Linked DNA regions of Arabidopsis thaliana. The protein of the gene in region 1 interacts with the protein of each later gene in a biochemical or structural test. Each region holds a gene or a part of one and is shown on either strand. Other genes may lie near its edges. The genes, in order: FD, CPK6, CPK4 and CPK33.

Evidence for each region.
Region 2: the proteins of FD (region 1) and CPK6 form a complex in vitro, tested with the Arabidopsis thaliana proteins (one study listed by BioGRID).
Region 3: of the proteins of FD (region 1) and CPK4, one has a biochemical effect on the other in vitro, tested with the Arabidopsis thaliana proteins (one study listed by BioGRID).
Region 4: the proteins of FD (region 1) and CPK33 form a complex in vitro, tested with the Arabidopsis thaliana proteins (one study listed by BioGRID).

The regions. Positions count from the first base shown.
Region 1 is NC_003075.7:17,002,471-17,007,281, forward strand, and holds FD (Basic-leucine zipper (bZIP) transcription factor family protein), read left to right. Parts: upstream 1-2,051; 5' UTR 2,052-2,275; coding exon 2,276-2,983; coding exon of another isoform or gene 2,984-3,010; exon of another isoform or gene 3,011-3,118; coding exon 3,119-3,196; intron 3,197-3,410; coding exon 3,411-3,482; 3' UTR 3,483-3,838; downstream 3,839-4,811. UniProt on the Arabidopsis thaliana protein: Transcription factor required for the transition to flowering promoted by FT.
Region 2 is NC_003071.7:7,514,457-7,520,507, reverse strand, and holds CPK6 (Calcium-dependent protein kinase family protein), read right to left. Parts: upstream 4,179-6,051; 5' UTR 3,852-4,178; exon of another isoform or gene 3,653-3,851; intron 3,565-3,652; 5' UTR 3,504-3,564; coding exon 2,786-3,503; intron 2,630-2,785; coding exon 2,486-2,629; intron 2,394-2,485; coding exon 2,241-2,393; intron 2,149-2,240; coding exon 2,033-2,148; intron 1,941-2,032; coding exon 1,773-1,940; intron 1,687-1,772; coding exon 1,462-1,686; intron 1,380-1,461; coding exon 1,269-1,379; 3' UTR 846-1,268; downstream 1-845. Other genes in the region: AT2G17280 (Phosphoglycerate mutase family protein), read right to left, coding at 5,664-5,742, 5,830-5,874, 5,969-6,051. UniProt on the Arabidopsis thaliana protein: May play a role in signal transduction pathways that involve calcium as a second messenger. Functions in abscisic acid (ABA) regulation of guard cell S-type anion- and Ca(2+)-permeable channels and stomatal closure. Phosphorylates FD.
Region 3 is NC_003075.7:6,047,273-6,053,266, forward strand, and holds CPK4 (calcium-dependent protein kinase 4), read left to right. Parts: upstream 1-2,168; 5' UTR 2,169-2,287; coding exon 2,288-2,825; intron 2,826-3,367; coding exon 3,368-3,511; intron 3,512-3,600; coding exon 3,601-3,753; intron 3,754-3,854; coding exon 3,855-3,970; intron 3,971-4,182; coding exon 4,183-4,350; intron 4,351-4,437; coding exon 4,438-4,662; intron 4,663-4,750; coding exon 4,751-4,912; 3' UTR 4,913-5,108; downstream 5,109-5,994. Other genes in the region: AT4G09580 (SNARE associated Golgi protein family), read right to left, coding at 5,449-5,580, 5,655-5,825, 5,909-5,994. UniProt on the Arabidopsis thaliana protein: May play a role in signal transduction pathways that involve calcium as a second messenger. Functions as a regulator of the calcium-mediated abscisic acid (ABA) signaling pathway. Phosphorylates ABA-responsive transcription factors ABF1 and ABF4 in vitro.
Region 4 is NC_003070.9:18,779,779-18,785,076, forward strand, and holds CPK33 (calcium-dependent protein kinase 33), read left to right. Parts: upstream 1-2,080; 5' UTR 2,081-2,435; coding exon 2,436-3,117; intron 3,118-3,190; coding exon 3,191-3,334; intron 3,335-3,435; coding exon 3,436-3,588; intron 3,589-3,681; coding exon 3,682-3,797; intron 3,798-3,878; coding exon 3,879-4,252; intron 4,253-4,347; coding exon 4,348-4,447; intron 4,448-4,532; coding exon 4,533-4,607; downstream 4,608-5,298. Other genes in the region: AT1G50690 (Cystatin/monellin superfamily protein), read left to right, coding at 1-163, 286-629, 725-734; AUG4 (HAUS augmin-like complex subunit), read right to left, coding at 4,941-5,003, 5,107-5,184, 5,294-5,298. UniProt on the Arabidopsis thaliana protein: Ca(2+)-dependent protein kinase. Negative regulator of stomatal closure and slow anion currents. Unable to phosphorylate THI1 in vitro, but the kinase activity is essential for the stomatal closure regulation. Phosphorylates FD.

The DNA.
Region 1 (4,811 bases):
TTATTTTGCACTTACTACTTTTGGTAGGCATATTTCATGTTGTATGATAGTCCGGAAAATTTTATATAACTTGCTAAAACAGAATTTGTTTCCATTTATATGCATTGTTTAAAAGTAAACTAAAGAGGATATTAAAAGACAGAGAAATAGATTTGATGGAGTTTGGGACAGAGCAATATAGTGCTGACACCTGTCCAATCCCCTGAGACGTGACATGTCACACTCCTTTCTTATACAACTTACAAGTTCTCTGCACAATTTTATGATACAATGGACATTTGAATTCACTCGTTACAGACTATACCCCAACTTTATTTTGAGTTTATTTTGCAAAAATGATTTGAGACTGGGAAAATTTGTTTTATTTTCGTCAATGAATATGCGTAGTGACGTCGATACTAACAAAAGTACTACTCTTTACATTCGAATTTTTGGTGGTTGCGAAACGACAACAAAGATCTATGAAATTTGTGTTTCACATTAAAAACTCAAAATGTATTTTGAAACCCAATGTTTGGAAACATGTAAACAAATTAAAGTCTTTGTACTTTTCACCAACAAATGGAAAATATATATCTTCTAACAAATATGAGTATTTGAGGAGCTTGCATTTTCGATAAACAGCTCCTAATGTAGTACTCTTTGCATGTTCAAAAGATGGGACGTTTCCTTGAGGGCTGATTTCAACATTCAGAGAAAAAAAATTATATACATGTACGGAAATGAATAGTTAATCTTGTTGAATAGAATAAGAGAAGAGGAAAGAAAAACAAATATCGTATGTTATTATAGTTTATATATAATCAACTTGCAATAAAGGAAAAATTTGAAAAGCGTGACTAGATATGCACTTGGAGACTGACTTACATAGTAGATACGATAATCGAATATCTAGATATCTGGATGGTACTCATATTATTTGTTTATTACGTATGATCAAAGATTTATTAATATGTATCATCTTCTACTTGGCTTAATTATTAACTAGTTTAGTATTCGTCTCTAATCTTCAAAACAATCAACATAAATATCTAAACTATATTGGTCATATAAAATCTAATACTTTACTATCCACTTGTAATGTTTGTTTTGTTCAGAGTTGGAGACCCACATAAATTGATTTCCCTATCCGTATTGTAAAACAGACTATTGACACTTTGATCAAATCTCGTTGGATGACATGAACACCAATGATTTGAAGTGGGGAACAATTCAATAGTTAACAATATTTTTGTTATTTAAATGCATTTCAACTATACGGTCGATATTATTTGAAATGTTTGCAACTACATATTTAAGAAAACGTTAAGTGCAAATGACCCGTTCTTAAACACTCCGAATCTCATATAAAATAAAGTTTTTTTGTACTAATCAAACATATAATTTTCAGACTTTTAGTTTTGATAGAAACAAATTACATATACGAACACCCAAGTACTACTTTTTATATTCGATAATATTATTCTATCTTCGTTTAAAATATATTAACCACATCAAGAAAAGAGGAATGAAATATTCTAACGGAATTAATGTTTGCTGCCAAAAACAAAAAAAAAACAGAAGAAATTTTTACATTTGAGTTTATTGGTATAGTAGTTAGGATTTTGTGTTTTATTATATATTTAAACGAATTTATTTAATTATTTCTAATACAGAAAGATGTATATATTCTTATCTACTTTCATTTTGTTTTTAATGTTTTATTTCGTCAATACCCTTAGGGGAAAAAAGTGTATTTTGGCAAATTTTCCTTAAATCTAAGAGCAAGAACAAAAATTAAAGTCACACATGAAAGTTGAAAGTGATCCAAAGGGATTTGATATTAGAAAATAGAAAGTGAGATAAAACCAAAAATAATTTTATATATTTGCCTGGCTTTTTACAAGCATCTCACCCCCACTCACTCTTTACATTTAAGGATGATGAAAAATACTTCACTTTTGAAATAATCAAACACCATTTTTAATCTTTATAATAACTCTGACGTTGAAGACATCAACAAACACCTTTAATTACATATAATAGTTTATGGAATTTCTCTTCTTCTTCTTGAAATATATTATTTAATTGGAAATAGTTCAATCCCTCTGTCTCTTCTTCTGGAGTCTTGGACCCAACCCCATCATTCCAGAAATGACCGGCTAAAGTCAAGAACCTCTCTCTGAGCTCTCACCACTTTCTCTCTCTACTCCCTCTCTGCGTGTAGGATACTACTAGACAATTGACAACCAAAGACTAAAGCTGTGTTGTTGGTTCACTTCTGTTCTCTTTTCCAATGTTGTCATCAGCTAAGCATCAGAGAAACCATAGACTCTCTGCTACAAACAAGAACCAGACTCTCACCAAAGTTTCTTCCATTTCATCCTCATCACCATCGTCTTCTTCTTCATCATCATCAACCTCATCATCATCTCCTTTACCTTCTCAAGACTCTCAAGCCCAGAAGAGATCTCTTGTCACCATGGAAGAAGTTTGGAATGACATCAACCTTGCTTCCATCCACCACCTAAACCGACACAGCCCTCATCCACAACACAACCACGAGCCAAGGTTCAGGGGCCAAAACCACCACAACCAAAACCCTAACTCAATCTTCCAAGATTTTCTCAAAGGATCTTTGAACCAGGAACCAGCACCCACAAGCCAGACCACGGGTTCTGCGCCTAATGGCGATTCCACCACGGTCACTGTTCTTTACAGCTCTCCTTTTCCACCTCCTGCAACTGTTCTGAGCTTGAATTCCGGCGCTGGCTTCGAGTTTCTCGATAACCAAGATCCTCTTGTTACCTCAAACTCTAATCTTCATACCCACCATCACCTCTCAAACGCTCATGCCTTCAACACCTCTTTCGAGGCTCTGGTTCCATCCAGTTCTTTTGGTAAGAAAAGAGGCCAAGATTCCAATGAAGGTTCAGGGAATAGAAGACATAAGCGTATGATCAAGAACAGAGAATCTGCAGCTCGTTCCCGCGCTAGGAAACAGGAATGTGCCTCTCCTCTTCCCTCCTAATCTTCTTCTACTCATGTGTATCAAAAAGGGAAGAAAAGAAATGTGGTTTTGCCATCAAATTGCTTTTGATCTAAAAAAAGGTCTCTTGGTTTTGATTCTCATTTGCAGGCTTATACAAACGAGTTAGAACTTGAAGTTGCTCACTTGCAGGCAGAAAATGCAAGACTCAAGAGACAACAAGATCAGGTAAACAAGCAGAGCCAAGTTCTTAATGTTTTACCCTTTTGTAGCACTCATGTCATTAGATCAATTCCTTGTAGTTTAACCAACTTATAAAAAGAGACAGACAGACAGCCTCTGGAGTATATTTGTTTTACACACTTTTTTGTCCAATGACATTTTGGGTGGTTAGATTCTGATACTTCAGTTGTGTGTTTATTATGTGTGTGTGTGTGTGCAGTTAAAAATGGCTGCAGCAATTCAGCAACCCAAAAAGAACACACTTCAACGGTCTTCCACAGCTCCATTTTGAGAAATCTACAAGTCCTTGTTTCTCTTTTGGGGATTGAGATTGTCTCATGAAGAAGTGAAAAAATGGCAAAAGTTTGTACCCTTTTTTATTAGCTATAAGTATAACTAAGCCTAAAATTGTAGAACTAAGATATTGTAGGGGAAAAAAGAAGATGTAAAACAAAAGACCCGGAAAGAGAAAAGGATCTTTCAATTTCCTAAGGCACAGGAACACCTGTCCTGGGTCCTCTCTTAATGTTCTGTCGTTTTCCTATGCAAACCCTTTTTTCACTTCTGTACTAACTTCTACTTGTATTCTTGTTGTAGTAATGTTCTACTTCCTCTTCTAATACTAGTAAGAAAAAAAACCTTATGTTTTACTGTTTAACCAATTTGGTTCTTAAAAGAAGCAAAGGATCAAATGACCAATAGACAAAACAGTGCTCCACTTAAATGATGACAATACCAGAGAAAAGTGAGAAGGGGACCTATCACTGAACATTTAATTTTCTCCCTATCACATTATCACATAAATATCCAATCCTTTGGCTGTCTACCATACAAGCCAACAACTTGCAATATGATTTTGAAACCTCCAAGCCAATGGGAATTAAGTTCACCACTTTTCGGGTTGGTCAAGAGAGAACATGATAAGTTTCTTATTCAGCATGGTCACTCCCCACGTTTTATTTATATTCATAGTACATAGTATTGTAGCTTTTGCTCTAACTGGTCACCATCAAAAACACTAGGTGTGTTTGTATTCATTTGGTTTATCAAGAGAATAGTTTTTATCTTCTTTTGGCCCAATTTCATTTACCTGACAGTGATAAGTCTTGTTGATCCACTTTTGGTTGTTGATATATTGCTGTGTATTCTTTTAAGCAACCAAAAGTGGACATCAAGAGCTAATATGGTGTAAATATAGTGGACATTAAGATAAAGAAGAATAGTTACCAAAAGTGGGACTATGACTAGAATCTATCCTCACATTATATGGTTACACTTAGAGCCCCTCAAATAGGCATCCAATACTTTAAATCATGCTTCTACTTTCATTCCAGTCAATAAGAATCCTAGACTTCAAGAAACTTTAAACGAAAAAGTTGGTTTATTCACCTGAAACTACACACCTATAATGTTTTTCAATTGGTTACATCAATGTTTCCCATCAAACATTCATACTTAAAAATGCTACCAGAACTTGGCCACAAGCCTAAAAGAGAGTTTAGAAGAGATGATCAGGTAACTAGTACAGAGGACAGAACGAACCATTGATAAGTTGCTGCAGATACAAGCTGATACCTTCACTCTGACCATTTTATTTCTTTTTGGGTGCAAAAGCAAAAGT
Region 2 (6,051 bases), on another chromosome or scaffold:
AATAAACTTCTATACAAAACAAACGAGTAGGATATAGAGAATCAAGAACCAAACATCTATGGAATAATCAAGCTCAGCAAAGTTTGAGAGGTTTATGAAGATATTAGAGACGCTAGATTTATTTATATAGATGGTAGGAGGCGGCATAACTCAAAACCCTAATCTTCTACGTGTGCGTACATGTATTGTTTAGTTTTATTATATTTTTAATCTTTGATATATGAGGATGTGCTTTATTTTCTCGTAACGACTGATTTAATGATCTTTTTTAATTTACTTTGTAGACGAAATTTGACCAATCTATTTCACCATTTTTCGGAAAACTAAATAAAAGGTGACATAAATAACTCACTGCATGTGGTGTGAAATGTATATACATTAATACATACGAACATACGATGCATATATATAAATAAGTGGGAGCACATGGTTTCCCTGTCATGTTCCAATCCACCACATTGGGACCAATGTATGATTGATTGTTTCGAACAACCTTAAGTTTGGTTCTAAGACATCACTTTGATTACATGATTGAGACTTAGTAGCTATCATCATACAGTATTCCACATTTTACATCAATTATTGCTCTTTTATTACATAAATTTTTGTGTATATACACACACTCATGTGTTCATATGTACATACATGTTTATGTACTTACAGATTCAGATGTAATTAGAGAAAGAAATTAGTGGACAGAAACTTGTAACATAGTAGTTGACTAGTTGTATTAATGTTGTCGCTATGACTCCAATTTGGAAGTATGCATGTGAGAAAAGACGACCAAAGCCGAGCTAAAAAGTTTAACAAACCAAAGTGAAGAGTATGCGTTTGTGTACTAACAACAGCAACAACAACTAAAAGGTGGAAGATTGTCACACAACTTGTATATCACATTTGTACTATATTGGAAGATGATTTGATCTTTCAAAAACCCAAAAAGGGTCAAAGCTTTCGACGATGGAGATGAAATAAAAACCAAACTTAAACAGTTGTTACAAACAAACAAAACAGAGAGAGAGAAAATAGAAATAGTCCTCACAGCTACTGATGAACAGAACTTAACACTTTTTTTTTATCTTTCACCATTTTTTAATCATACAGTAGTTTTTAACATTTTTAACTCAAACCTTCAACGATTTAGCTGGTTCGCTGCAGCTATGAATCTGGTTTCTCTTCCTCCTCTGTGATTAAACATTGCAAATGTTGATTCCATGGAAACATTTGCATCCTCACCGAATAGACGATTTAAAGATGTGTGTATGTGCCTACACATCTCTCATGCTGATGTTTAGACTATTTTTCATTGTTCTTCTCCCTACACCAGCATTTCCCTTTTGCATCATCGCAACAAATTCTTCGTAATCAATCCGTCCATCCTGTAAGAAACAAAAACCAAAACTTTATTAGCAAACACCAATGGTGAAGAGTGGAAGAATCATGTCAAGAGGCAAAGCTTACGTTGTCTTGATCTACTTCTTTGATTATGTCTTCAAGAAAAACATCGGTCATCCCATGTTCAATGCAAGATTGTTGCAGCTCATCAATGGTGATGTAACCACTTCCATCTTTGTCAAAGTACTGAAATGCAGAGACAAGATGCTCTTCTCTCTCTAGTTTATTCAGATGGATCGTCGCTGCAATAAACTCGCTGTAATCTATTGTACCGCTGTTGTCCACATCAGCCTAAGATACAACACAGAGAGTATGGTTATTGTCATCTATATAGCGAAATGAACTAGTGTGCATATCTCAAAAGGATGCATTGTTACCGCTTCCATAAGATCTCGGATCTCGGTGTCTTTCAAGGTTGATCCATATCTTCTCAAGCCAGCTTTGAGTTCATCAAAAGTGATTGCACCGCTGTTATCAGTATCCATTGCCTCAAACATTGCTCTTAAACCCGCAATCTCTTCTTCTGAGAGGCTCTCAGCTATCACCTGATCATTCCATAATCACTAATATGAGTAAACATATCTCAAACGAATGTGATGCAGAGACAATAGAAGATTGAGTATAACTACAAACTGACCTTTAAAGCCATCTTCTTTAATTTATTCATTGCAGAAAACTGTTTTAGACGAGACAAAACAGCCGGGTCAAGTGCTCTATCCGGTGCAACTCCATTCTCACAGATCCATGGATGACCTGAAAAAAAAAGAGATACATACAAGAGATATAGTCTAATGTTGTGTGGCTGCCAAATGTAACCATTTATTTAAGTGTAATTGATTACGTACGCAAGACTTCATGAGCAGTCAAACGTTCAGAAGGACTAGAGCATAACATCTTCCGGATCAGATCTTTAGCACTGTCGGATATGACAGGCCACGGGTCTGTATCAAAGTCAATATATCCCTTCAACACAGCATCAAATATTCCTTGCTGTGTTTCTGATTTCAAAAACACAAAACCAAACTTCAGGAAACCTTGTCAATGGCACTAATTAAGAGAACGCATTGAAACAGCTATATCGCCCGCATACCTGCCCAGAAAGGCGGGACACCACTTAGTAAGATATAGAGTATAACACCAGCAGTCCACACATCAGCTTCTGGACCATAATGTTTTAGAAGAACCTCAGGAGCAACATAGTATGGACTTCCAACAACATCCTTGAATATTTGGCCTGATATTAGAGTAAGACTACACATTATGCAAAGCTGAAACATTTACATTCCCTTACTCATTTGATGAATAGAAAGTCACAGTAATGTATACTACAAAACACATCATGGTACTTAAATAGATTCAGAACAATGAGAAACTCGCAACTAACGCTTACCTGGTTTGAAGAAAACAGAGAGACCAAAATCAATGGCCTTAAGAGAGAAATCATCATCCTTATTAACCAACAAGAAATTCTCAGGCTTTAAATCTCTATGCATAACACCAAGAGAATGACACGCCTCAACAACACCGACAATGATCTTGGTCAACTCAGCAGCTTTCCTCTCGCTGTAATGACCTCTATGAATAATCCTATCAAACAACTCACCACCAGCACAAAGCTCCATCACAATGTGAACATACAAAGGATCCTCATAAGCTCCTTTAATAGTAACAATATTCTTGTGACCAGCTAAATGATGCATAATCTGAATCTCCCTCCTAACATCCTCAACATCTTCTTTAGATATCAATTTCCTCTTGGATATAGACTTACAAGCATAGTCAACACCTGTGGCAATATCAGTACACAAATACGTTGTCCCGAATTGTCCTTGTCCTAACTTACGACTCAACGTGTAAAGATCACGAATGTTAGGAGTCTTGTGACCAAGAACATAGTAAGATTGATTGTCAACGTTACGCCGCATAATGGGTTCTTTAACAGGAATCACAAGAGCTGGATTGGTGTTCTGTTTGGAGAAATCTTGGTCTGTAGTAGGAGAATGAACAGAGGAAACAGTAGTGGTGGTGGATTTGGAATTCTCCTCGGGCCTACTATGATTGCCCTCGTAGATTTTGTCCTTAAAAGAACCACGACATGAATTGCCCATGAAACAAACTCTCTCTATTTCACAACTTTTTTCACTTTCTTCTTCTCCTCATCCAACGAAACTGTTTCATGAACAAACATACACAAAAAAAATCAGATAAAGAGAAGCCAAAAAAGTATCAAACTTTGGAACGAAATCAAAGAACCCACATCAGATCAAGCTTCAAAAAACATAATTGTTTTGTAACATAATCAAAGATTAAAGAAAAAAAGACAAGAGCTCCTGAAAAGTCGTAGCTTTAAATGTTCATCGATCATTATAGATCCCAAAAAAGAATCAAAGACACAACAATAAATGAAGAAATCATTTGGTAATAAAAGAAACATGAGAAAACAGAGGATCTAGTACCGGAATATAGCAGAACAGCGAGAAGACGATGAAATGGAGACGAAGAAGAAATGGGAAAAACTCAAAAAAGGATAATTATTCGTTGATAGTTTTTGTTTAAGTCAATAACAAAAGAGAAAAAATGGTTTCTTTGTTATGTTATTGTTTAATAGTATATATCTCTATATGTGTTGCTGTTTCTGGTTGGGTAATTGGATTCGTTGAATCATTAGAGAGTGTTAAAAAGATTGATTCTTTTGTGGATTTGTGAAATGATGAAGGAGAGAGGATGGTGCAAAGAAGAAAGGTCTTTTACGCGGTTTCGTCTCACCTTCTTCATTCCTTAATTGCTTGTTTAATTAGTATTAATTTAAGGGATCATCATCTTTTACTGGTGTAATGATACTTAGTGCAAGTAGGGAGAATAAAAAATTGCAATAATTTGTTTAGGATAACTTATTATTAAGAGAATGATTATAAGCCTAACGTTATACTAGCTTTTTTTAAGAGTTGGATGTGCTTAACTTAGCTAACTACAAAATATTATTATTAGATGCATATAGTTAAGAGTTAATTTATGGTCTTGATTAACAGATCGAAACAATGGACAACTAAATTTGTTCTGAAAACTCAAGTTTTATTATGTTGACTTTTCACATTGGTTCATCAAAGATGTCACATTCTTTTTTACTTTTGCTAGTATATAGGCTTTCTTGAATAAACATTTTGGTATGTCTACGTTGAAATAACAACTAGTACAGTATAAATCAAACTTTTAGCACTGAAAGTTTTGCATAATTTTACCAATAATTAGTGAAGTATATAGGATATCACTTTTTTCTTACAAGAACTAAGGCATGGGGCATGTCATTGTCGGGTAGTGAGTAAGATCGCAGACTACAATTTGTCTCGCACGTGGTACAAATTTAGTTTGGGTGTACTTTTTTTTTCTTTTTGACATCACAGTATTGTACTTACAGTTTTTTTATTTTCCAATAGATAACTTTACAAACCGTGAATCATATCATTTAAAAAAAAAAATCGTTCTCTTAAACGGATAAGAAGCTAGACCTACTTTAAATTTTACATTGTCGAGTGTTCTTTAAAAGATCTTATCATATGTTCAAAATTGGGGAACAAAAAATTTCGAATTCCTAATGGTAAAAGCTTTCTCCAATAGTTTGGAGAGAGCGTAATTTCTATAAAGAATCTGAATACGATTATCGATTATATTAAAGTCCAAATACATAGAACGTACGAAGAGCATTAAACTTTGATCTACTTCTATAAAAACACTTAAAACATTTTCTATTTTCATAAAAAATCTCAACACCAAAAGATAAAACCTAGTACTATAAGAAAAGCTGAGTGTAATTTTTGGAATTTTCTCTTTGTTTTATTAAAATGCTTGGCCATAAGAAAATTCAACACAGCTGCCATAAAATATGAAGTTGATCTTACATAAATAATGTTTTAAGTTTCTGCTGGTTCTCATGTTGATAGAGATAAATCTACTCATCTAAGATTCACACTTATAATTTAGTTGCATCTACCAGTTCCTCTACTTGTAATGCTATTATTTCCACAATTGTATAATCACAGCTAAAATGAGAATTGGAGCAGAAATATTAAAGCTACCGCTAAATTTTGGATAATAACAATCATACAATAAATTCATGTAGCAGCAGAGTCAACCTACATGGCTACATACCAACACTAATGTTCATCAAATAACTGAAAATGCCAGATTCTAGTCCAATGGAAACATCATGTAATTTATTTATTTTAGAAAGAAAAACTATCTCAGAATTCTCTCTCTTACTCTTCAGCCATTTAGCCACTAGGATTATCAAGTCCTTCAGGAACCTTCCCAGGATAGTTTGTGGTCTCTGCAGAGTCAGTCCCCAGGTTCCTACACACCCAACACCATAATAAATAATCCAACACACTCTCAAATTATATTTATATTCTGTCAAAACTTATTGTAATTATTGCTTACCCTCGATCCACGATAACCATTGAGCGAAGCTCACAGTTGCTCAAACTGAACAAAGTTAAAGATGTTGATTAGTTAAACAGTTTCAAGTTATACAAATTGTTGGTGCTTGTAGACATCAAGTTTTTGTTTAAGCTCTTACTGTATAGACAACTCTTTCTTTAGGTCATCGCAACAATCCTTCCCGAAAGAACTCAAGAGACCGTGCAAGAAGCCACTGTGAGA
Region 3 (5,994 bases), about 11 Mb from region 1:
TTTTATCCTGACCAACCACCTCGAAAAGTATTAGTGATTTCTACCTATATAGTGAAGAAGACCGTAAGTATTAGTTCCAAACATTTAGACCCATTATATAGAAACAGACATAGAATTTGGAAATTTTGAATAAACCGATCAAGCTGAGAGTAACTAAGAGAACACAAATAAATAAGAAACTCAAAATATTTAAGAGATTTCAGTCAGTGAATAACGAAAGTACCTCGGAGTAGAGATTCAACGTTGTATTAGAAGTAACCAACGACGGGAGATCTAGTTGAGCTCAAGTCACCGGATAATATTTCGCAAGATTGCGGCGGCGGAGAGAGATTGGTTTCAAAGAGTTTGAGATCGATGAGTGTAAGAGAGAAATGATGAAAAAGAAGTAGAAGAAATAGAGTTAGGTTTGTTTGTAGTTTCTCAAACATAATAAGGGTATAATTGTCATTTATCATATATAATACAACTTTTAAGCGTTGACCGCAGCATTATGCCGCACTTACTTGCATCTGCCGCTGTTGCAGCAACCTAGATAATCAAACGAACATCTTATTAAAAAAAAACAGAAGCTGAAAGCCCAAGCTTATTTAAAGATGGGCCAATAGGGGCCTGCATAAAGTTCCAATTTTATTTAGAAAATATCTATTTAACATCATTTATGAATAAAGTGTCCTCCGATGCTATTTGGGTTTGGTTAAAGATGGATTTTGGAGGTTTTCCAAATGATGTCAGATTTTGAAGATGAACAATGAAATAAATATATCTAAAGCTTATACATCTAGGTCTCTTACCCAACGGCGATGAAATAAAGAATACATGTACTAAAACGACGCATGCAAAATAATACCTGAAATTTTCTTTCTACGTTGGAACTCATTGCAAAAGATGAGGAATATTGCATAGCCATGGATTGGATAGAGCCATAAAGAATCGGTACACATTGCTTTTCATATTTTAATATCGTTAAGGCGTAATGTAATAAGTATTAGAAATGGATTTTTAAAAGTATTTAGATAGTTCGGGTTTAAATTTTATTTTATTGCTGATTGGACTTTGTTTTACAATTATAGAGAAATAATTTTGTGTTAAATTATAGTATTATACGACATTCACACAATTACATTTACATTAACATGTACCACGTCTATTTTATAATATTGCTCCAAAACGAAAGAGTGGTCTTCACGACGAGCGAGGTTTAAAATTTGTAGTCGTGCATTGCAAAAAGCTGCGAAAACCGTGTGAACTCTCAACCAAACCAAATATGATATGAAGAAATTGGTTCTTGTCCATTCGGTGGTTAGTGTGCATGCATGTCGGTGAATTTTATATGTTTTCCATTTACGACCTTTTCTCTTTATATCATATAGATTTTTAGGGGAAAAAAAAATCATATAGATTTTTAAAAAATCATGTTCCCAATTAAGACATAATGTTTAGTAGCCAAATTGAGAACCAACCTTTTTTCTGTTTATTAAATAATTTAAGTGGATGGATTTTACACATATATTTTAATGTCTTACATAAATAAAATATCATGTTATTTTTTTTGATAATATCATGTTTTATTGATAAAATCCATACATACTTGATACTTGCAAAAAATATCATGCACAAATTTATCTCTATAAATGGTTATCTACCTTTTTTTTTTTTTTTTTTTTGAACACAATTTACCTAATAATCTTAATAAATATAAGAGAAATGTAACGCATACTTTTGTTGGACATTGTTTTTGGTCGAGTCTGATTGGTTTTTTGTTCAGATCTATCGGATTTATGTATTTAAGATCTAATAAACAAATTATAAAAAATTTGATTCGATTTGGTTATCGATTTTATTAATAATGTTAATATAATCCGACTTACTTTGGTTAGAAAAATTAATTCAAAAGTAACAACAAAAAAAAATTGGATAACAAAACCATCTAAAATCCTGCTAATTAATTCACATCTAATAACCGAATCCGAACCTAAATGACCAAACCATTTGTGTAAAAATCTCAAGCCTAGTCCCTATATTTCAATAGATTTTTTTCTTTTTTTTTTGGTCAAGATCAATAGATTTTTTTCATCAATTCAATTTATTGCAAATTTGCAATAATAGTTGGTAAATACTATAAATGTAAATGGTCACGGGATAACAAAAGAGCAATAATAATATAATAATTGCATAAGACGAGTCAACATGACCAAGAAACATTGAAGGGTTCGTAACTTCGTATCATCTTCCTCCTCCTCCTTTGATAAACACCAAAAAAAGGCAGAGACTTTCGAAATCAAGAACAATGGAGAAACCAAACCCTAGAAGACCCTCAAACAGTGTTCTTCCATACGAAACACCAAGATTAAGAGATCACTATCTCCTCGGCAAAAAGCTAGGCCAAGGCCAATTTGGAACAACCTATCTCTGTACAGAGAAATCATCATCAGCTAATTACGCTTGCAAATCAATCCCAAAACGTAAGCTTGTATGTCGTGAAGACTACGAAGATGTATGGCGTGAGATTCAGATCATGCATCATCTCTCTGAGCATCCTAATGTTGTTAGAATCAAGGGTACTTATGAAGACTCTGTTTTTGTTCACATTGTTATGGAAGTTTGTGAAGGTGGTGAGCTTTTTGATCGGATTGTTTCTAAAGGGTGTTTTAGTGAACGTGAAGCTGCTAAGTTGATTAAGACTATTCTTGGTGTTGTTGAGGCTTGTCATTCTCTTGGTGTTATGCATAGAGATCTTAAGCCTGAGAATTTCTTGTTTGATAGTCCCAGTGATGATGCTAAGCTTAAAGCTACAGACTTTGGTTTGTCTGTCTTCTACAAGCCAGGTTCGTTGTTGATTCTTCTCTTTTGATTGGAATCTTATGGTTTTTGTCTTTGTTGGTTGGTTCAAGGAAATGTTTTGATTTGGTTTCTTGATTCGGATTTGCTGCTTGAGCATTGTTAGGGAAAGATTGAATTTTGTTATATCTGGTTTTGACATTTAGTTGATATATATGGATGTGTTGATTGTGCAAGGTTTTGTTATATATGTAACATATGCTTATGGTTATGAAGCGATCTTATCAGATTTTATTCGATTCATTGTCTAGATTATGTTGAGAAATGTCTTGTTTGGTGTTGAAAATCGGTTTCATGATATGTTATCTGTAGAATCATTTGTTGAATGGTCATTTCCAATTTGCTGCTTGAGCATTGTTAGAGAACCAATAATTTTCTGTGGCTAGATCTTTCTGAATCTTTTCTTGCAAGATTTACATAGTTTTGTTGTGTTACTTATGCTTATGTAATGATGCTATCAGAGCTACATTGTGTCCGACTAATTTCAGTGCTTAACAAAATTTTCAATTGTGTGGGTTTGCATCTTCAGGGCAGTATCTGTATGATGTAGTTGGAAGTCCGTATTATGTTGCACCTGAGGTTCTGAAGAAATGTTATGGACCAGAGATAGACGTGTGGAGCGCCGGTGTTATCTTGTACATCTTACTAAGTGGGGTTCCTCCTTTTTGGGCAGGTAAGTTTGTGAAAGCTAGTACCGTTGTTACTACTGAATCAAGTATATTGCTTATGTGATTTAAGCATCCATGAGTAATTTGTTTGCAGAAACCGAGTCAGGAATCTTTAGGCAGATATTGCAAGGGAAGATAGATTTTAAATCTGATCCGTGGCCTACTATCTCAGAAGGTGCTAAAGATTTGATTTACAAAATGCTCGATAGGAGCCCCAAGAAACGTATTTCTGCACATGAAGCATTGTGTAAGTTGTTACTTATGATTGTTTTCCTCTCTGCTACATGTATTTTGTTGTTCATTTCTGTAAGATATAAGAATTGAGTTTTCCTCTGATGATATTATTAGGTCACCCTTGGATTGTTGATGAACATGCTGCACCAGACAAGCCTCTCGACCCAGCAGTCTTGTCGCGACTTAAGCAGTTCTCGCAAATGAATAAAATCAAGAAAATGGCCTTACGAGTAAGAAAGTTGTAGCCCTTTAGTCTCCACTCTCATTGCTTATTTTCAAGAACTGATTTCCCTGTTAGGAAGATCGACTAAGATAACACATTTTAAGAACTATTTTCAGGAAATGAATAAACTTAAGTAAATGGCCTTATAAGTTGGAAAGCTATAGTTCTTTAAACTCTCAATGCCATTGCTTATATTCAAGAACTGATTTCCCGGTTTAGGTAATCGCGGAGAGACTCTCGGAGGAAGAGATTGGTGGTCTGAAGGAATTGTTCAAAATGATAGATACAGACAACAGTGGAACAATCACCTTTGAAGAGCTTAAAGCAGGTCTAAAGAGAGTTGGATCTGAATTGATGGAATCAGAAATCAAGTCTCTTATGGATGCGGTAATTATACCAAAACAAAAACTCTCTTTTAGAATATTGATTTCTCCGTTCTTCTAGGAATCACAAAGCTTAAATGGTGTTTTGCAGGCGGATATAGACAACAGTGGGACAATAGACTACGGTGAATTCCTAGCAGCGACATTACATATAAACAAGATGGAGAGAGAAGAGAACTTGGTGGTTGCGTTTTCATACTTTGATAAAGATGGTAGCGGTTATATCACCATTGACGAGCTTCAACAAGCCTGCACAGAGTTTGGTCTCTGTGACACTCCTCTTGATGACATGATCAAAGAGATTGATCTTGATAATGTAAGAAGCCTTCATGATCTGTTTCCTTTGTCTTGTTTCTTAGTGAGTTTGGTTTAAAACTGATGATGAAAATATGTGGTTTTGTTAGGACGGGAAGATTGATTTCTCAGAGTTTACTGCTATGATGAAGAAAGGAGATGGTGTTGGGAGGAGCAGAACTATGAGGAACAACTTGAACTTCAATATAGCTGAAGCTTTTGGAGTTGAGGACACAAGCAGCACTGCTAAATCTGATGATTCACCAAAGTAATTATAATCATCTATATACTTGGAATTGAGAAATGAGAACTCACAAAAGAAAAACTGAATCTTTCCTTTTTGTTTTCGTTTCCACTTTTGTAGATGAGCAACTTTCTCAATTTTGTTATAAGCATGGATAATTTTGCTTCATATTTTCTGCGTATAGAACCATTATATGATCAGAATCACCCATATTTGGTCAAAGCAATGTCTTCAAGCATTTACATAATCATGTTTGTTATACATAAGCCAATAGGCTGCAGAGTCAGATCTCTGAATCAAGTATTCAATATACAAAGCCAATCATGATTCAGTAAACTAGCTACACAAACACTTACTACTACAAGGGGGTAAGAGAAGCTCTCAAATCGAAGACAATAAACAAATCAAAGCCAGAGTTAGCGATTTTAAGCTCCGCGATGTTGCAGAAACAATCTTCTTCTTTTATCTTGAGCTCATAAACACCTTTGAAATGCTGCCATGCGACTGAAAGGTGCTGCTCATCAATATCTATATAAATGATTATACTCTTCAGTCTTCGACTCTTCATTCATATACTCTCTTTCTCTTTAGAAGGGCAGGGAATATGGAGATGGATCCAATGAGGAACAGCACTGACAAGGTCTTGAAATCATACAAATCCTTTACTGATCTGAGATCTCCAAGAGCCAAACCAGCCTGTGTAAATGAAAGTAAATGTTAGCCTCTTAAACACGAAAGAACAGCGGAATGAGATTGAACAATAGACTCACTCTAACTGTGATGTACGAAGCTGGCATAAGACCGACTAGAGTCGCCAAAAAGAAGACGTGAAAGGGTATGTCAACGATTGGAGAAGACAAATTGATAAAGAGGTTTGGAAGTGTTGGTGTTATCCTTAAGAACAGCATGTAGTTTAGCAGCCTATCTCTTCTTTTCGCAATCTGACCCATTGAAGATTTCAAGACATTAATGCTTTCAGAACAAGAGACATTACTAAATACTAATCAAACACAAAAGAACTTACCTCAGCTTGGAAAAACCTCAACTTTTCAGGCCATAACCAGTTAACCAATGGCCTACCGACCAATTTCGATAAGAAGAAGCAAGAAC
Region 4 (5,298 bases), on another chromosome or scaffold:
GGTGGTGGTCGATAAGAAATCTGAGGAGCCTGATCTGAAGCGTCAGAAGCTGGAGGAGGAGGAGGAGGAGGATTGCGAAGAGATGTCTTCGTACAGCGAGTCGACGTGTAGTTTCGATTCGGAAGATGAACGATTGGTCGAAGAAGAATACCAAAGAAGCGGGGTATGTAGTTGTAATGATCCACCAATCTCTCCTTCGCTTCTTACTTTTTCGAATTGAGATTTTGTCTGTGATTTCAAAAGCATTATGTCGGCTTCTCTCATGAATGTGATTGTTGTCTGTAGTATTACGACTTTGACACCACGAAACAAAGACGCCTTGTGTTTTGCTATCCTGTTATCTTCGAGGATAGTGACGTTGCTCATAAACCCGAAACCGACGGAGATTTGGTTCATAGATTATCCAAGATTGCTCTTCAGAAATACAATGATGATAAGCTGGAAAATCTTGAACTTGTGAGAGCTGTCAAGGCTAATCGGAAATATGGAGCCGGATTCATTTTCTACATCACCTTCGAGGCCAAGGATGCTAATTCTCACACTGACCCCATTACTTTTCAAGCTGCCGTTCGCTACCTTCGAGGGATTGAAACGGTCTACCGTGTCCACCCTAAACCATTATTAGATTCGTAAGCTCTAAAATTTTCCCATCCTACTAAGTTTAAGTTGTTATTGATATGTGTTTTGGTAAAATCTTGTTTTTTTTTGTGTGTTTACTGTTTAGGACCAAGTAGTGGCAGATGTAACGGGATGTTCCTTTGTATAATGACATTCTACTCAACTTTCTATTTATCTGCAAACTTCTTTACCGTTTCTGGGATAAACTTATGCATCTTTTACTCTCGTACCATTAAGCTGTGTGTATCTTTAACTTCTATTGCGACAAGTTGTTTACTTTGTTTTGTAAAGATTTTTGGTAGCTTGTATCTTTTATTGGTTACACCTAGCGAGAATTGTCCTCCTGTTGGAGACACCATGGCAACACAGGTAAATCCTGTTGGACACAGCATGGTTCTACTGTCATTGCTAATTTGCTTCCTCATCTATTTTTTCTTCATTTTTGCTGTCTTCCTTGTATTGGTCTTCTTCTTCGTTGTCTCCCATGGTTTTACGGCTCTACTCTTTCCTGTTCTTCCCACCTTTGAAATTTTCCAGCAGTAACAACTTACACTGCGAATGAACTGGAAACCAACAGAGACTTGGTCCATCGATTGTCCACCTAAACCACGATTGTTAGATATGTAGGTAAGGTTTGAAAATTTGGTGGGAATCTTCCTGAGTAGTGTGGCCATAAACGTAGGAGCAAAGACATGAAAACGTTACTGTTGGTTATAGTATCATCACGTATTGATATGTGTTTAGGGAAGTTTTGATTATTCATTTTTCTGTTCATCGATAGTAGGTCCATCCTCCATGAGCCATGAAACTTTTGTTGATGATTATATACTATATTAGAAAAAAAGTGGCATATGGAGGGTAAACAAGAACTTGAACCTATCCTTCCTCGCTCTCTTTTGAATATTTTGTGGTATTTTATGTTAAGAAATTCACTAAGAACCCCCAATTTTTAGAATAATGCTGATTTTTAACGATTTCAACTAGTATGCACAAAAGAAAATCGATAAAAGTTCAAAGCAGAAATTTAAAAGGCACAAAAGAAGAATTACTATATCACGTTACAAAATTTAGACAGACTCTAAAAGCGACCTTCATCGACTCTTTTCAATCGGCCATAACATTGAGGGAGGCTCTATTTCAAATGAAGCGGCTGAGCTATCAGGGTGTCATATTTTGCGAGGACTCGAATATCTTATATGGTCACTTGGAGAGGGCAATAGAACAGCGCCAAAAATCATATGGACCGTTGGAAATTCAAGGATACATTAAAGATATAATGATCATGGCAAAGGTTTCTTATAGATTTATGCGCGTTAATGGGAAGGAGAACACAATGGCGTACATATTAGCTAAGAAGGCTAGACAACAAAACTGGAAAATCTGGCCAAAGAAAATTAAAAAAGTCACAAAAGAAATTGACTTGTCTTGTTAAAAAAATTGTCAATTTAATTTCACGAACAAACTAAACTCCACAGCTGCCCCAAAAAGCCGACCTTTAGAGATCCCTCCACTACTTTGTAACTTCTTCTTCCCCAACTTTTCATGATTCTTCTGCAATTCAACTTTCCAAACAATCATTTGTTCTAAATCTCTTAAACACAAATCTTTGCTTGATTAACCAAGTTCGTTGTCCTTAGTTGCTGAATTGTAGCCTATACGTCTTCTAGTATAAACCCACCCAAAAAAAAGATCAAACCTTTGCTTATTTCTCTGTTTTATATCCCTGATTCTCTGCAAATTTTCACGAAAGGTTCGATCTTTGGTCTCTGGGTCGTGATATTTTGAGCTTATTTAGCTAAAGCAAAGACGAACGGGCAATGGGGAATTGCTTAGCCAAGAAATACGGATTGGTGATGAAACCACAACAAAATGGTGAAAGATCAGTTGAGATCGAGAACAGAAGAAGGAGCACCCACCAAGATCCGTCTAAAATATCCACCGGAACGAATCAACCACCACCTTGGCGGAATCCAGCGAAACACAGTGGTGCTGCAGCTATACTCGAGAAGCCGTACGAAGACGTGAAACTGTTCTACACTTTGAGCAAAGAATTGGGTCGAGGCCAGTTTGGAGTAACGTATCTGTGCACAGAGAAGTCGACGGGGAAGAGATTCGCTTGCAAGTCGATTTCCAAGAAGAAACTTGTGACGAAAGGTGATAAAGAAGATATGAGGAGAGAGATTCAGATTATGCAGCATTTGAGTGGACAACCTAACATTGTTGAGTTTAAAGGAGCTTATGAAGATGAGAAAGCTGTGAATTTGGTTATGGAGCTTTGTGCTGGTGGTGAATTGTTCGATAGGATTTTAGCAAAGGGACATTACAGTGAGAGAGCAGCTGCTTCTGTTTGTAGACAGATTGTTAATGTTGTCAATATTTGTCATTTCATGGGTGTGATGCATAGAGACTTAAAGCCTGAGAATTTCTTGTTATCTAGCAAAGATGAGAAGGCTCTTATCAAAGCCACTGATTTCGGATTATCAGTCTTTATCGAAGAAGGTATATTACATCTTTTGTTGTATTGGTGATATGTCTTTTGGAATTGGTTCATTCATGATGGTTTATTTTGCAGGGAGAGTGTATAAAGATATAGTTGGGAGTGCATATTATGTTGCTCCTGAAGTTTTGAAGCGGAGATATGGTAAAGAAATCGATATATGGAGTGCTGGAATTATACTATACATTCTACTTAGTGGTGTGCCTCCGTTTTGGGCTGGTAAATGCGATGAAATTATCGGTTATTTCGATTCATATATATTTGAGAAGAATGTAGTTGCATGTGTGTATGAGTATGGATTGTTGGCTTTGGGAATGTAGAAACGGAGAAAGGGATATTTGATGCTATATTGGAAGGTGAAATCGACTTTGAATCCCAACCTTGGCCCTCAATTTCCAATAGTGCTAAAGATTTGGTACGTAGAATGTTGACACAAGATCCGAAAAGACGGATTTCTGCTGCTGAAGTTCTTAGTAAGTAAACGATCTTATTCTTTGTTGGTTATGGTAACTTCTTGTATACTTACTTGAATGTTGACAATATGGTTGATGTTTTACCTTTTGAAGAGCATCCATGGCTAAGAGAAGGTGGAGAAGCATCGGATAAGCCTATTGATAGTGCTGTTCTCTCAAGGATGAAGCAATTTAGAGCGATGAATAAACTAAAGAAACTTGCTTTAAAGGTTAGATCAAAGATTCTACACCTTGTTGCCAGATTTGACAGTCCTTTGTACCTTTCATCTTACAGATTGATTTTGACACAGGTCATTGCGGAGAACATTGACACGGAAGAAATACAAGGCTTAAAGGCGATGTTTGCTAATATAGATACAGACAATAGTGGTACTATCACATACGAAGAATTGAAAGAAGGATTAGCCAAACTGGGATCAAGACTCACTGAAGCTGAAGTGAAACAGCTCATGGATGCTGTAAGTTTTGATCAAGACAAGATCGTTCATTTACTTCTTGAATGTTTAAAAACTCCTATTCGGGTTTTTGTGATTCAGGCTGACGTTGATGGAAATGGGTCAATAGATTACATTGAGTTTATTACTGCAACAATGCATAGACATAGGCTTGAAAGTAATGAGAACGTTTACAAAGCCTTCCAACATTTTGACAAAGATGGGAGTGGGTAAGTGATCTTTCTTTTGGTATGAATCATTTTGCAATGTAAATAGATTTGTTAGCAATGATTGATGAGACTATTACTGAAAATGTGTTTAATAGATACATTACGACAGACGAGCTAGAGGCTGCTTTGAAGGAATATGGAATGGGAGATGATGCTACTATCAAAGAGATTTTGTCTGATGTCGACGCTGATAATGTAAAAGCCAAAAGATTAAAGCTCTTCGCCCTTGTAACGTTTTTCGTTTTCTTTCTCTGACCTCAAATTTTGTTTCTTGTTACAGGACGGTAGAATCAACTATGACGAGTTTTGTGCTATGATGAGAAGTGGGAATCCACAACAACCAAGATTGTTCTAACATATTTTATTTGTCTTCTGTCTGAATCTAATCAAAAAAGACAAGAGTGGTATTATTATTGTTGTTTAGGCAAAAATTTAAGGTTGAAAAGAGAGAGAGAGAGATGATTGCTTTCATTTATTTTGGTACTGCTAAACTGGTCATCTCATTTGGTTTGAAGGACCAATAAAAGTATATAACAGAGGAAGATAACACAATGTAAGTAGATTACAAGTAGTGGACCACATAGCTAGATGTATATTTAAATTATACTGATTTTTTCTCCCAGTTCAATCTTTCTTGGAGGATTAGATTTGCTAATACATATATCACAAGTGTTAACAAATCTAGTGATCAGTCATGAGACTTAAGGTCCATTTCTACTTGATGAATGGTCCACTGCATATTTTCCAGTTTCTGCAAAACCATGAAAGCTCTCATTATAATTCGTGTTGTTGTATTCCCACAAGTCAAATCAAATTTAGAAGGTGAAATGACTTAAGTAATGACTTGCTTGTACCTTAACAATGTCATGGTACTGTCTGGCAATTGTATCAAAATGCGGATCTACTCCTTGATATTCTCTAAGCCGAGTAACCTGTGTGTCATTTCGCAGGCTCGGTTAATTAATCGGGAGTAAAATGCCAATGAAGACTGAACAAAAGGGTTTAGTGCTAAGCAATGTAAGAGAGGATAAAGACACAAACCGCTT